2 linked regions of the Anolis sagrei genome follow. The protein of the gene in region 2 purifies or fractionates together with the protein of the main gene of each other region. This does not show direct contact. Links are inferred from orthologs where the notes say so. Each region holds a gene or a part of one and is shown on either strand. Other genes may lie near its edges.

What was found. The genes of interacting proteins can lie anywhere in the genome.
Region 1: the proteins of C6H17orf49 (region 2) and SMARCA1 purify together in Homo sapiens (affinity purification with mass spectrometry; 4 studies listed by BioGRID and IntAct, with this or other methods). This does not show direct contact. The link is inferred for Anolis sagrei from reciprocal best matches to the Homo sapiens genes BACC1 and SMARCA1.

The regions. Positions count from the first base shown.
Region 1 is NC_090030.1:17,307,180-17,314,901, forward strand, and holds the start of SMARCA1 (probable global transcription activator SNF2L1), read right to left. Parts: upstream 3,085-7,722; 5' UTR 2,986-3,084; coding exon 2,845-2,985; intron 1-2,844.
Region 2 is NC_090026.1:294,201-301,443, reverse strand, and holds C6H17orf49 (chromatin complexes subunit BAP18), read right to left. Parts: upstream 3,001-7,243; 5' UTR 2,912-3,000; coding exon 2,891-2,911; intron 2,798-2,890; coding exon 2,703-2,797; intron 2,607-2,702; coding exon 2,505-2,606; intron 1,219-2,504; coding exon 1,019-1,218; intron 709-1,018; coding exon 604-708; intron 500-603; coding exon 414-499; downstream 1-413. Other genes in the region: RNASEK (ribonuclease kappa), read right to left, coding at 6,498-6,639. UniProt on the Homo sapiens protein: Component of chromatin complexes such as the MLL1/MLL and NURF complexes.

The DNA of each region.
Region 1 (7,722 bases), on a different chromosome or scaffold from region 2:
TACGGTTAGGGGTTATGGTTAGGGAACGGTTTAGGGTTTGGGTAAGGTTTAGGGTTTGGGTTAGGGTAAGTTTTGGGTAAGGTTTAGGGTAAGGATTTGGGTAAGGGCTTAGGCTTACGGTACGGTTCAGGGTTAGGATATAGGTTTCACCATTAAAGAACTCTTACATTCCTTCTATATTATCTGTCTCCAGCCTGGCTTACATTAGCTAAGTCTCTCTTGCGCAAACAGCACTCTCGAAGGAGTGATGCGGCAAATCTGTAACACTCGGAGCTTCCGGATCCAGCTATCATACTATTTCCCAGAACCGTATCAGACAAGTATGCTGAGCCGGAACTGTTAGCATTGTAACAGTTCCTATCACTGTTTACTTTTTCAGTTGTCATTAGCAACTTATAATTACAGTCCAGCAAGCAGGTTTAGTCATTGCAGGACTTAGTCTTTTAGAATTGGTGCCTCCAAAATTTTTGGCTCCACTCATTCATTCTTCCATTCAACTCCATTCAGCTGCCATTAGCAACTTATAATTACAGTCCAGCAAGCAGGTTTAGTCATTACAGGCCTTGATCTTTATTTATTTATTTATTTATTTATTTACAGCTTTAATATTCCGCTTTTCTCACCCCGCAGGGGACTCAGGGCGGATTACAGTGTACACATATATGGCAAACATTCAATGCCAATTTTTGACATAGAAACATATACAGACATACACAGAGGCTATTTAACTTTTTCTGGCTGCCAGGAGAGCTGTCCCTTTCATCGTCCATCTGCGACGCTGATGAAGTACTTCCGCATTCCCCGCATGCTTTCCCGCTGGAATGTTTTTCCTGTAGTCTTCTTTATGGCCTCATAAATCAGTTAATTTAGCCTCCCCACACTTTAAGGTGGTACCGAATTTTCCTACTTGACAGATGCAACTGTCTTTCGGGTTGCAAAGGTCGACAACAGGCTACACAATTGGTTGGAAACCCACTCCAACCCGGTCTGGCTTCGAACTCATGACCTTTTGGTCAGAGTGATCTTAATGCAGCTGACACTCAGCCAGCTGCGCCACAATCCCAGTGGTCTTTTAGAATTGGTGTCTACAAAATTTTGGTTCCACTCATTCATTCTTCCATTCAACTCCATTCAGCTGCCATTAGCAACTTATAATGACAGTCCAGCAAGCGGGTTTAGTCATTGCAGGCCTTATTTATTATTATTATTATTATTAACTTTATTTGTACTCCGCTAGCATCTCCCGAAGGATGAGTGAAGAGAATGCCTTGGTCTTTTAGCATTGGTGTCTCCAAAATGTTTGGCTCCACTCATTCATTCTTCCATTCATTCCCACATATCAAATCCACATTCTTCCATTCAACTCCATTCAGCTGCCATTAGCAACTTATAATTACAGTCCAGCAAGTGGGTTTGGTCATTGCAGGCCTTGGTCTTTTAGCATTGGTGTCTCCAAAATTATTAGCTCCACTCATTCATTCTTCCATTTATTCCCACATATAAAATCCACATTCTTCCATTCAACTCCATTCAGCTGCCATTAGCAACTTATAATTACAGTCCAGCAAGTGGGTTTGGTCATTGCAGGCCTTGGTCTTTTAGCATTGGTGTCTCCAAAATTATTAGCTCCACTCATTCATTCTTCCATTCATTCCCACATATCAAATCCACATTCTTCCATTCAACTCCATTCAGCTGCCATTAGCAACTTATAATTACAGTCCAGCAAGTGGGTTTGGTCATTGCAGGCCTTGGTCTTTTAGCATTGGTGTCTCCAAAATTATTAGCTCCACTCATTCATTCTTCCATTTATTCCCACATATAAAATCCACATTCTTCCATTCAACTCCATTCAGCTGCCATTAGCAACTTATAATTACAGTCCAGCAAGTGGGTTTGGTCATTGCAGGCCTTGGTCTTTTAGCATTGGTGTCTCCAAAATTATTAGCTCCACTCATTCATTCTTCCATTTATTCCCACATATCAAATCCACATTCTTCCATTCAACTCCATTCAGCTGCCATTAGCAACTTATAATTACAGTCCAGCAAGTGGGTTTGGTCATTGCAGGCCTTGGTCTTTTAGCATTGGTGTCTCCAAAATTATTAGCTCCACTCATTCATTCTTCCATTTATTCCCACATATCAAATCCACATTCTTCCATTCAACTCCATTCAGCTGCCATTAGCAACTTATAATTACAGTCCAGCAAGTGGGTTTGGTCATTGCAGGCCTTGGTCTTTTAGCATTGGTGTCTCCAAAATTATTAGCTCCACTCATTCATTCTTCCATTTATTCCCACATATAAAATCCACATTCTTCCATTCAACTCCATTCAGCTGCCATTAGCAACTTATAATTACAGTCCAGCAAGTGGGTTTGGTCATTGCAGGCCTTGGTCTTTTAGCATTGGTGTCTCCAAAATTATTAGCTCCACTCATTCATTCTTCCATTTATTCCCACATATAAAATCCACATTCTTCCATTCAACTGCCATTAGCAACTTATAATGACAGTCCAGCAAGCAGGTTTATTCATTGCAGGCCTTGGTCTTTTAGCATTTGTATCTCCAAAATTATTAGCTCCACTCATTCATTCTTCCATTCATTCCCACATATCAAATCCACATTTATCCAATCTACATATTAAATTTTCCTAACATCTCTCTCTCTCTCTCTCTCTCTCTCTCTCTCTCTCTCTGCTGGAGCTCAGAAGGGTTCAAGGCAGCGTCCCTCTGGCTGAGCATACCTAGAGCGCACAGGCTCGGGGAGAGAGGCCTCCCTTCCCCTCAGGGCCTCCCTGGCCTCCCTCCTCACTCTCTCGCTCGCTTCTCCCGGGCCTTACCTCGTCCGGGCCAGGCTCTGGCGGCGGGGCGCAGGCGGCCGAGGTGGAGGGCTCCTCCTCTCCCTCCTCGGGGCCGGCGGAGGAGGCCTGGAGCTCGTCCTCGGCCTTGGCCTCGGCGGTGACACTGACAGCCGCCTCCATTTTGTTTCTGGCGAGGAGGGAGGCGGGCGAAGGGTTCCCCCTGGAAACCCGCCCCCCTCGCTTTGGTTCCCCGCTTGTTTCCCCTCCCCGCCCCCTTTATCCGGAAGTTATCGCGAGAACGCAGCCCCGAGAATATGCCTTCAGTAGGCGCGCGCGCGCTGCATGAAAGAACGTCCCCTCATTGGTAGTTCCATGGAAAGGGGCGGGGAAAATAACATATTGCCTGAAGCCCCGCCTCCTTTAAGGGGGCGTGCCCTGGTTATGGTTGCCAAGGTGACAGCTAGAAGTACTAGAAATACCCTAGAAGTACAACACCAACACTCAAGGTGAATGCCTACCAAATGATTCCAGTATTTTCTGTTTGTTATGAGAGTCCTGTGTGCCAAGTCTGATTCAATTCCATCCTTGGTGGAGTTCAGAATGCTCTTTGATTGTAGGTGAACTATAAATCCCAGCCACTTCAACTCCCAATTGTCAATGTCTATTTCCCTTGTCAATGTCTATTTAACTTGTGTGCAGAACACATCATGAGAGGATGTGCGGGGCTTGAAGAATGCAAAGCTGGGGTGAAAATTGCTGGAAGAAACATGAACAACCTCAGATATGCAGATGACACCACTCTGATGGCCGAAAGCGAGGAGGAGCTGAGGAGCCTTCTAATCAAGGTGAAAGAAGAAAGCGCAAAAAGTAAACATAAAAGAAACCAAGATTATGGCAACAAGAATGATTGACAACTGGGAAATAGAGGGAGAAACCGTGGAGGCCGTGACAGACTTTGTATTTCTAGGGGCAAAGATTACTGCAGATGCAGACTGTGGCCAGGAAATCAGAAGACGCTTCCTTCTTGGGAGGAGAGCAATGTCCAATCTCGATAAAATAGTAAAGAGGAGAGACATCACACTAGCAACAAAGATCCGCCTAGTCAAAGCCATGGTATTCCCTGTAGTCACCTACGGATGTGAGAGCTGGACCTTAGGGAAGGCTGAGCGAAGGAAGATCGATGCTTTTGAGCTGTGGTGTTGGAGGAAAGTTCTGAGAGTGCCTTGGACTGCGAGAAGATCCAACCAGTCCATCCTCCAGGAAATAAAGCCCGGTTGCTCACTTGAGGGAAGGATAGTAGAGGCAAAGGTGAAGTACTTTGGCCACATCATGAGGAGACAGCAAAGCCTAGAGAAGACAATTATGTTGGGGAAAGTGGAAGGTAAAAGGAAGAGGGGCCGACCAAGGGCAAGATGGATGGATGGCATCCTTGAAGTGACTGGACTGACCTTGAAGGAGCTGGGGATGGTGACGGCCGACAGGGAGCTCTGGCGTGGGCTGGTCCATGAGGTCACGAAGAGTCGGAGACGACTGAACGAACGAACAACATTTCCCTCAAACTCCATCTGTGTTCATCTTTGGGCATATGGAATATTCGTGCCAAGTTTGGTCCAGATCCATCATTGTTTGAGGCCACAGTGCTCTCGGGGTATAGGTGAACTACAAGTCCCAAACTCAAGATCAATGCCCACCAAAGCTTTCGAGTATTTCCGGTATTTCTAGTATTTTCTGTTGGTCATGGGAGTTCTGTGTGCCAAGTTTGGTTCAATTCCTTGATTGGTGGAGTTTAGAATGCTCTTTGATTGTAGGTGAACTATAAATCTCAGCAACTACAACTTTTTTTGAGTGATGGTCACGCCTTGGGTTAGTAGGTGTCTTGTGGCCAAATTTGGTGGCAATTCATCCAGTGGTTTTTGAGGTCTTTTAATCCCACAAACAAACATTACATTTTTATTTATATAGGCTAACCGTCCCCTGCCATGCGTTGCTGCGGCCCAGTATGTGTATATGTGTTTTGTGTGTATATATATGTGTATATATGTGTGTTTGTGTTTGTGTGTGTGTATATTTGTGTATTTGTGTTTATATGTGTATATGTGCGTGCTTGGGTATATGCATATATGTGCGTATATATGTGTGTATGTATGTGTATATGTATATGCGTGTACGTGTATATGTATGTGTGTATATGTGTATATTTGTGTGTGCTTGCATATATATGTGTGTGTGCATGTATATATGTCTATATGGGTAAGTGTATATGTAGGTGTGTATATGTCTACATTTGTGTGCATTTGCATATATATGTGTGTGTGTGTGTATTTATGTGTGCTTGTGTATATGTGTATGAATGTATGTGTATATGTATATATGGTTTATGGGGGGGGGCGGTTAAAGTCCATTCTGCTAGGTTTTGTGTGTGTGTGTGTTTTATGAGTGATGGTCACTCGTTGGTCTGATAGGTGTATTGTGTCCAAATTTGGTGTCAATCGTGGTTTTTCAGTTATGTTAATCCCACAAACGAACATTACATTTTTATTTATATAGATTTATTAGCTTGGGGACCCAGCAATGCCCGGGTTATTTGAGAAAGGCCTTTGAGAAAGAACTCACAACCTCTGAGGATGCCTGCCATAGATGCAGGTGAAACATCAGGAGAGAATGCTTCTGGAATATGGCCATACAGCCTGAAAAACCTACAACAACTCTGAGAAAGGCATTGTTTGTCTGTGCTCTAAGATAAGTCTGTTAGAAATTGTGGGAACTGAAGTCCAAAACACACAAAGGGCTGAAGTTTGCCCATGCCTGAGTTACATACACCCAAGTCTGAACTTCAAAGGCACTGTCCAAGGTACTGAACCTCCTTGGCAATAGGCTTCATCAAAGAAACACACTGAAGGGCATTTTTCTGTGACAATAATATGGAAGCCAATAGAGGCTTTAAATTTAATAAGCATCATATCAAATACAGTTAATAATTTGCAATTACCTTATCCCAGCAACTATCTACCACCTGTAGGAGCCTAATAAAATAAAAGGAAACGCCCAAAGAAATGAGAAAAATAAATGGGAAAGTCACAGGGAGGAAGAAGAATCATAGATGTATGTATTTTATATGTGGCATCGAATTGTGCCGATTGTTCATCACCCTGAGTTGCCTTTGGGCTGATATGGGCGGCGTAAAAATAATATAAATAATAATAATACATCAATAAAAAGCAAAAACATTGCAAAACATTTAAAAACCATAAAAGCAATGAATAATAAAAATTATAATAAAAATTATAATAAACATTGGCCTTGCAGCTTCAAAGCCTGTCTGCTTCCTGCCTGGGGGAATCCTTTGTTGGGAGGTGTTAGCTGGCCCAGATTGTTTCTCCTTCCGTCCTTGATTCATGTTTGGGCAATGCTGCGTTTGGTGGCCTTTATGTAGAATTGCTAATCAGTGCCAATCAAGCTGGCCAATTGCAACATTCACACTTGCCTCCAACAGACGAGAGTTTTTTCTCCCACCCTGGACATTATTCCACATTTATATAAACCCTACTTGCCTAGTTTCCAATAGACTACATGTATTATTATTATTACCCATGTATATAAACCTCACTTGCCTAGTTTCCAACAGACCACATGTATTATTATTATTATTATTATTATTATTATTATTATTATTACCCATGTATATAAACCTCACTTGCCTAGTTTCCAACAGACCACATGTATTATTATTATTATTATTATTATTATTACCCATGTATATAAACCTCACTTGTCTAGTTGCCAACAGACCACATATATTATTATTATTATTACCCATGTATATAAACCTCACTTGCCTAGTTTCCAACAGACCACATATATTATTATTATTATTATTATTATTATTATTATTATTATTATTACCACCCATGTATATAAACCTCACTTGCCTAGTTTCCAACAGACCACATGTATTATTATTATTATTATTATTATTATTACCCATGTATATAAACCTCACTTGTCTAGTTGCCAACAGACCACATATATTATTATTATTATTACCCATGTATATAAACCTCACTTGCCTAGTTTCCAACAGACCACATATATTATTATTATTATTATTATTATTATTATTATTATTACCACCCATGTATATAAACCTCACTTGCCTAGTTTCCAACAGACCACATGTATTATTATTATTATTATTATTATTATTATTATTATTACCCATGTATATAAACCTCACTTGTCTAGTTGCCAACAGACCACATATATTATTATTATTATTACCCATGTATATAAACCTCACTTGCCTAGTTTCCAACAGACCACATATATTATTATTATTATTACCCATGTATATAAACCTCACTTGCCTAGTTTCCAACAGACCACATATATTATTATTATTATTATTATTATTACCACCCATGTATATAAACCTCACTTGCCTAGTTTCCAACAGACCACATGTATTATTATTATTATTATTATTACCACCCATGTATATAAACCTCACTTGCCTAGTTTCCAACAGACCACATGTATTATTATTATTATTATTATTATTACCCATGTATATAAACTTCACTTGCCTAGTTTCCAACAGACCACATGTATTATTATTATTATTATTATTATTATTATTATTATTATTACCTATGTATATAAACCTCACTTTCCTAGTTTCCAACAGACCACATATATTATTATTATTATTATTATTATTATTATTATTATTATTACCCATGTATATAAACCTCACTTGTCTAGTTGCCAACAGACCACATATATTATTATTATTATTACCCATGTATATAAACCTCACTTGCCTAGTTTCCAACAGACCACATATATTATTATTATTATTATTACCCATGTATATAAACCTCACTTGCCTAGTTTCCAACAGACCACATATATTATTAT
Region 2 (7,243 bases):
TCCCCACTTGACATATATATGGCACCCCTCCTACTACAAAGGGGGACCCCAGACCCAAATCCTAGCCATAGGAAGAGGGGGAAAGACCCCTCCCCACTTGAAATGTATATGGCGCCCCTCCCACTTCAAAGGGGGACCCCAGGCCCAAATCCCGGCTATGGGAAGGGGGGGAAAGACCCCTCCCCACTTGACATATATATGGCGCTCCTCCCACTTCAAAGGGGGACCCCAGGGCTAAATCCCGGCCATGGGGAGGGGGGAGAGACCCCTCCCCAATTGACATGTATATGGCGCCCCTCCCACTTCAAAGGGGGACCCCAGACCCAAATTCTGGCCATGGGGAGGGGGGAAAGACCCCTCCCCACTTGACCTGTATACCCCTCCCAGAAGAGTGTGGGGGAGGGGGTCCTCCTTCAGCGGGGGAGGGGGTCCGCCTTCACCCTGCCGCCCCCTCCTCCACTGGGGGCCAAGAGGAAGGCGGAGTCCAGGGTCAGGCTGTCTGGAAGAAAGAGAGAGAGGGGGGGTCGTGGGGCGTCCCAGGGGTCCAAAGGGGGTCACGCCCCCTCCCCTCCCATGTGCCCCCCCTTGACCCCCCACACTGACCCTGGTCGAAGGTGAGCTTCTTGGCTGGAGGGGGGTCTCCCAGGCCCTCGATGTCCACCAGGTCGCTGTGGGCGTCCGAGTCGTTCAGGGCGCTCAGGGTCACGTCTGGGGGGAGAAAAAGGGGGTCATGTCTAGGGTGAAAAGGGGGGGGGGAGTCCTACTTATATATTATATTATTGTACTAGGCATGGGCCAACTTTGGCCCTCCCTCCGTCCCTCCGAGTGTTTTGGACTCCAACTCCCAGCATTCCCAACAGCCTCAGGCCCCTTCCTTTTCCCCCTCAGCCGCTTAAGCGGCTGAGGGGGAAAAGGAAGGGGCCTGAGGCTGTTGGGAATGCTGGGAGTTGGAGTCCAAAACACTCGGAGGGAGGGCCGAAGTTGGCCCAGGCCTGCATTGTTTTCCCTCTCTTCTCACCGCAGGCCTTGTGCTTCTTGGCGGGGGGCTCGGGGGTCGGCCCCGAGGAGGAGGAGGAGGTGGAGGGGGCCCCCTGGTGCTGCGGCTGTGGAGGGCCCTGCCCGGCCCCCGACTGCTTGCGGGGCCCCTTCTTGGGCGACTCCGCTGGGAGGCCGCTCTCCTCGTAGGCCTTGCGCTTGGCCGCCCCCTTCAGCTGCGCCCTGCAAACGGAATTGATTGACAGCAGGAGGGAGGGGGGAGGAAGGGGGGAAAGAAAAGGGGGAGACATTGGGGAGGGGTCAGCTCATGGGGGGGGGGGGTGAGTGTCAACATCCCAGCCTGGAAGGGATGTTGGGAAAGGGTTAGGGGACCTGGAAGCCCCGCCCCCAAGGCAGGCCCCGCCCACCGGGAAGAGCTCCGCCCTCCCAGGCAAATGAAGCCCCGCCCCTCATCATAGGCCCCGCCCCTTGGGAGCAACTCAACCACGGAAGCCCCGCCCCACTTGAGAGAAAGACCCGCCCCTCCGAGGCCGACAAAGCCCCGCCCCCTCACCATAAGCCCTGCCCACTGGGAAGAACTCAACCACGGAAGCCCCGCCCCAAAGAGGCGACATATACAAGATAGACCCCGCCCACTGAAGCCATGCCCCAAAGAGGCGAAGCTGGACCTGGCAGTCCCGCCCACTGGGAAGAGCTCTAACAAGGAAGCCCCGCCCCACTTCGAGAAAGCCCCGCCCCCAAGGCAAGCCCCGCCCCTCCGAGGCAGATGAAGCCCCGCCTAAGAGGAAGAACTCAACCACGAAAGCCACGCCCACAGAGGCAAGGAGGCCCCGCCCAGAAGAGAAGCCACTCCCCGCAGAGGCCTCGGAAACCCCGCCCACCGAGGGAAGAACTCAACCAAGTAAGCCCCGCCCCTAAGATTGACTGCCCACGGAAGCCCCGCCCCCAGAGGCACTCGAGAGAAGCCCCGCCCAGAAGAGAAGCCACTCTCCGCAGTGGCCTCGGAAGCCCCGCCCACCAAGGGAAGAACTCAGGAGAAGCCCCGCCCCATAGAAGAGCTCAGCCAGGGAAGCCCCGCCCCCAGGATTGACTCTGCCCACGGAAGCCACGCCCCCACAGAGGTACTCAGGAGAAGCCCCGCCCCATAGAAGAGCTGAGCCAAGGAGGCTCCGCCCTCCAGGGAAGAACTCAACTAAGGAAGCCCCGCCCCCAAGATAGACCCCGCCCACGGAAGCCACGCCCCACAGAGGCCAAGCTGGACCTGGCAGTCCCGCCCACCGGGAAGGGCTCTACCAAGGAAGCCCCGCCCCACTTCGAGAAAGGCCCGCCCCCAAGAGAAGCTCCGCCCCTCCGTGGCAGAACTCAAGCACGCAAGCCCCGCCCCCAAAGTTGATCCTGCCCACGGAAGCCCCGCCCCCAGAGGCACTCAGGAGAAGAGCTGATCCAGGGAAGCCCCGCCCCCCGAGGAGGTGTGTCCCCGCCCTCGCCGAGGCCCCGCCCTCCCTTACACGGTGCGTTCCTTGATGAGGGCGCTGATGCGGTGGAGGTCGTCGCCGAAGCGCTGGACGGAGGCCCGCAGGAGGGAGACCTCCGCCTCCGTCCACTTGGCCCTATTTGGGGGGGAGGGGTCAGGGGATGAGAAGGGGCGTGGCCAGGGGAAGCCCCGCCCCCACTCCCCGCCAGGCCCCGCCCCCTGCCCTGCTCACCCGGCGGGGGAGGAGTCTGCGACCGGGTGGAGCTGCATGGCCAGCTCGCCCAGCTTGGAGAAGGCGGCCCCCGCCGCGGAGAAGATCTCCCCCACCTGAGAGGGAGAGAGAGAGAGAGAGAATGAGGGAGAGGGACAAGCCACGCCCCCAGGAGGACTACGTCTCCCAGCAGCCCCCCTCCGCTGTACCTTGGTGGAGGCCGAGGTCATGGCGGCCCTTCGCCCGCGGGTGCCTCCACCGCTCTATGGCCGCGCTCCCGCTCCCGCCGCCATGGCAACAAGGCCCTCCTCCTCCCTCTCTTCCTTCCGGCGCGCGCCCGCCAACTTCCGCCTCGCTCGCTGGCTGGATGGCGCCCAGCTCGGCCCGCGGTGGGAGGGAGGGAGGAGTCACGTGACAGGCCGCCCGGCCAATGGGAGCAGGGCACAGCCGCCCCGCCGAGGAGCCCTTCCTGCCTCGACGCCGCAGCGCCTCCAGAGGGCGCGCTCCCTTCCTTCCTTGCTTCCTGCCTTCCTTCTCCCTGCTCTGGCCCCGCCTTCCCGACAGGCGCCTTGGACTACAACTCCCACAATCCCCCGCAGCCGAGCATTATAAATATCATACGTAGAATAATAATAAAAAAATATTATATTATGATGAGTTTGCAAGCATGAGCAAACTTCGGCCTCCAGGTGTTTATATATATAACTAAATATAAATAATACTGAAGTCCTAACCTAATTTATAATTATTTCCAATATAATGAAATTGTTAACAATGCCAATCATATTATTGTGATTAATTATATTTGATTGTATATGAAGTAATAATAATAATAATAATGCAACCATAGTATCCTAGAGTTGGAAGGGACCCCCAAAGGCCACCCAGTCCGAGCCCACGCCATGCAGGGAAAGCACCATCAAAGCATCCCTGAAAGATGGCCATCCAGACTGTTTAAAAGCCTCCAAGGAAAGAGCTTCCACTGCTCTCCTTATGGTCAGGGAGTCCTTCCTCGTGTTCATTGGAATCTCCTTTCCTGCCATTTCGGCTCATGGCTCCGCTGAGTCCTACTTTCAAGGGCGGCAGAAAACAACCCGGCTCCTTCTTCCTTCAGGCAGCCCCTCACATATTCATACATGGCCACCATGTCTCCTCTCCGCCTTCACTGCTGTGGCTAAACAGGCCCCGCTCTTTAAGACGCTCCTCAGAGGGATGAGTCATGGTCTCCAGACCTTTGAGTCCCCCTCTTCCTCTGGACACCTTCCGTCTTAGAGTCAATATCCCCCTGGACACAGGGGAAGAGGCCTGACCAAAGCGGAATAGAGAGGCACCGGGACCTCTTCCCACAGTCTGGACACTGAATCCCAGAATCCCACTGGCTTTTTGAGCGGCTGCATGACACTCCTGGCTCATACTCAGCTGGTTCCCCATGAAGACTCCCAGATCTTTCTCGCATGTGTCTCTGTGGTGGAGCCAGGCATCATATACATATACATGCAAACATATTTTTCAGATGTTTGGTTCCAGCTGATGAGCGTAGAAACCAGTGTTCTCACGGTGGAAGAACAGGCGGGTCAAGAACAGGACTCCATAGAGTGTATGTGCATGTTTGCATATACAGTAGAGTCTCAATTATCTGACATAAACGGGCCAGCAGAACATTGGATGAACAGAAATGTTGGATGATAAGGAGTCTCCTCCCGGACTGTGACCCGTGCAACTTGGCACCAGACACGGAGAATACTACCAAGAGGGCCTGGCAGTGGGATCAGAGTGTCGGATAAGATGGAAGGTCGGAGAAGCAAAGGTTGGATAAGCAAGACTCTATTCTATATGTAAAGGTGTATTTATACCTTTGTATGTACATATTGGGAGCCCCCGGTGGTGCAGTAGCTTAAAGAACTGAGCTGCTGAGCTTGTTGATCAAAAGGTCGCAGGTTCAATTCAGGGGAGCGGCGTGAGCTTCCGCTGTCAGCCCTAGCTTCTGCCAACCTAGCAGTTCGAAAACATGCAAATGTGAGTAGATCAATAGGTACCGCTCCGGCGGGAAGGTAACGGCGCTCCATGCAGTCATGCCTGTGGCCACATGACCTTGGAGGTGTCTATGGACAACGCTGGCTCTTCGGCTTAGAAATGGAGATGAGCACCAAGTCCCAGAGTCGGACACGACTGGACTTCATGTCAGGGGACTACCTTTACCTTACCTATGTACGTATATGTGCATGTGTATATATGTATATGTCTGGTCTTTCCCCCTTTTGGAAGAGGGTGATGATGGTGGCATCCTTGAAATCTGCTGGGATTTTCTCGGTCACCCACACTTTTTCTCTGAGCTGGTGGAGTTGTTGTGTCAGCTCAGGTCGTCCCTCTTTAAAGATTTCAGCTGGGATGCCATCAGGTCCGCTGGAGGTCAGCTGTGACCAGCAGTGCTGCAGAATTTGAAGAGGCACGAGTGGAGGGTGAAAGAGAAAAGTGCCAAGAGGAAGGTGCGTGAAGCCAACCCTGACCGAGACCGCCTTCCGTCTGGAAACCAATGCCCTCACTGTGGGAAAATATGCGGGTCAAGAAGAGGGCTCCACAGTAAATTACAGATCCACCAGAAAACTGATCCTGGAAGACTATCCTACTCGGCCAATGAGGGAATCGCCTAAGTAAGTAAGTAAGTGACCTAAGTAAGTAAATATGTATATGTCAAGCAGTGACAAACTTCGGCCCTTCGGGTGTTTTGGATTTCAACTCCCACAATTCCCAACAGCCTTCCATGCCTGGCCTGTGTCCTGCCTTGTCCCATCAGAGGCCTAAAGCCCCGTCTCCTGTGGCCCCTCCCGTTTGGTGCAACAGAAATACATTCCCCGAGAACGTGACGGTTGCCTGTCAGGCCCAGATCTCGGGGTGGCAGTTTGAGGAGGGAGGGGCTTGGTTGTCCAGGAAGTGGGGGTGTCCCATGGACTTGGGGGCCGTTTCCTGGGTCTCCCCTCCTCCCAACTAGGAAAAGCAGAGGCAGACAAGTGAGTCACGGCCTTGAGGAGGGTGAGCGGTCAGCAAATGGAGAAGTCCCCCCCCTCCCTTTCCAGGAAGCAGAAGGGAAAGCACGCACGAGGCCTGAAGGTCAAACCCCCTTTATTATTATTCTTATTATTATTATTGCACACGGAGGGAGCGGGGGGCGTCCATCGCCTTGGGGAGCGCCAAGCCCCCTCTTACTGGACAACTGACCAGACCAAGAGCCGGGGCAACAATCCGGCCCGCTCCCCAAATATAGGGCGCGTTGCCCTTCCTTCCCAGCCAGCCAGAACGGCAGAGTTTACACAGGAAACGTTGACAGTAAACATGGAGAAGGACCCAAAACACACAGCGTGCCGACGGGAGGGAGAGGCCGCGCATGGAAGAAGTGGCCGCGTGTGTCCGCCATTCTTGGCAACAGTATTTACACAACATCACAGTCCGGGTTCCGTCGGTTTCAGCCAGAAGAAGGAAACATGCCGCTCCCTGCGCCGTTTGGCCAAGGTGTCCTTCGGCCGGCAAAACTGACCAGAGGAAGGGGGAGGGGATGGGGTGGGTGGGTGGGGGTCTCAGAGAGGCGGCAGAAGGGCAAGGAATGTTTCTGGGGGTCCCGAATCTGCACCCAGCCGTCACTCAAACATTCGTTCAGTACAAACAGAAATAAATTACGTGTCCCCGGCCAGATCCTAGTTGTAGAGTCTGGGGGTGTCGTGGTCAGGGAGAAACACTAAGGAGAGCCCCTCCCCCAAAAATAAATGAATACATGGCCCGGGGGGGAGGGGCACAATAGAGGGGAGGGGGGACGGCGCACAGCTAGCGGACCATGTACTCCTTGCGCTTGTTGAGCCGGACCTGGCAGAAGGAGAAGCCCCCCAGGATGACGTAGAGGCCGGCCGCGATGAAGCAGTTGTAGCTGACCTGCTCGTACAGGGCGTAGATCTTGTTCGGACCGTCCCTGCCGAAAAAGGGGGGGAGGGGGGGAGAGAGGGGGGTCAGGACCCCATGCCACGCACCGGCCCCTCCTAACACAGTGAATAGGCTATGTTATATTAACAATAATATACTAATAATATATTTAATCTGTCATATTTATATTATATTTATAATGTTATATATTAATTCTATTATTATATTTATAATATTATTTATTTATTTACTTTATTTACTCTTCTCAACCCTAAGGCGACTATTGTGTATACAATAATTCAGTATACACAATAGGAAATCATTGGACATTTGAAAACAGTAGCATAGCAATTAATTAGACACCAATACATCAATATAACAAATCCATCACATCTCATCAATAAAATCGGAATCCAATTTCATTATCCATTATTCCGTGTTCCAATAGTCAATTATACTCAATTATACTGCTTGATTGAATGCCTGTTCGAACATCCAGGTCTTCACTTTCCTCCGAAATGCCAACAGGGAGGGGGCCGATCTGATGTCTGTAGGAAGAGCGTTCCACAGCCGAGGGGCCAACACTGAGAAGGCCCTGTCTCTCGTCCCCGCCAGGCGTGCTTGTGAAGCCGGTGGGACCGAGAGCAGGGCCT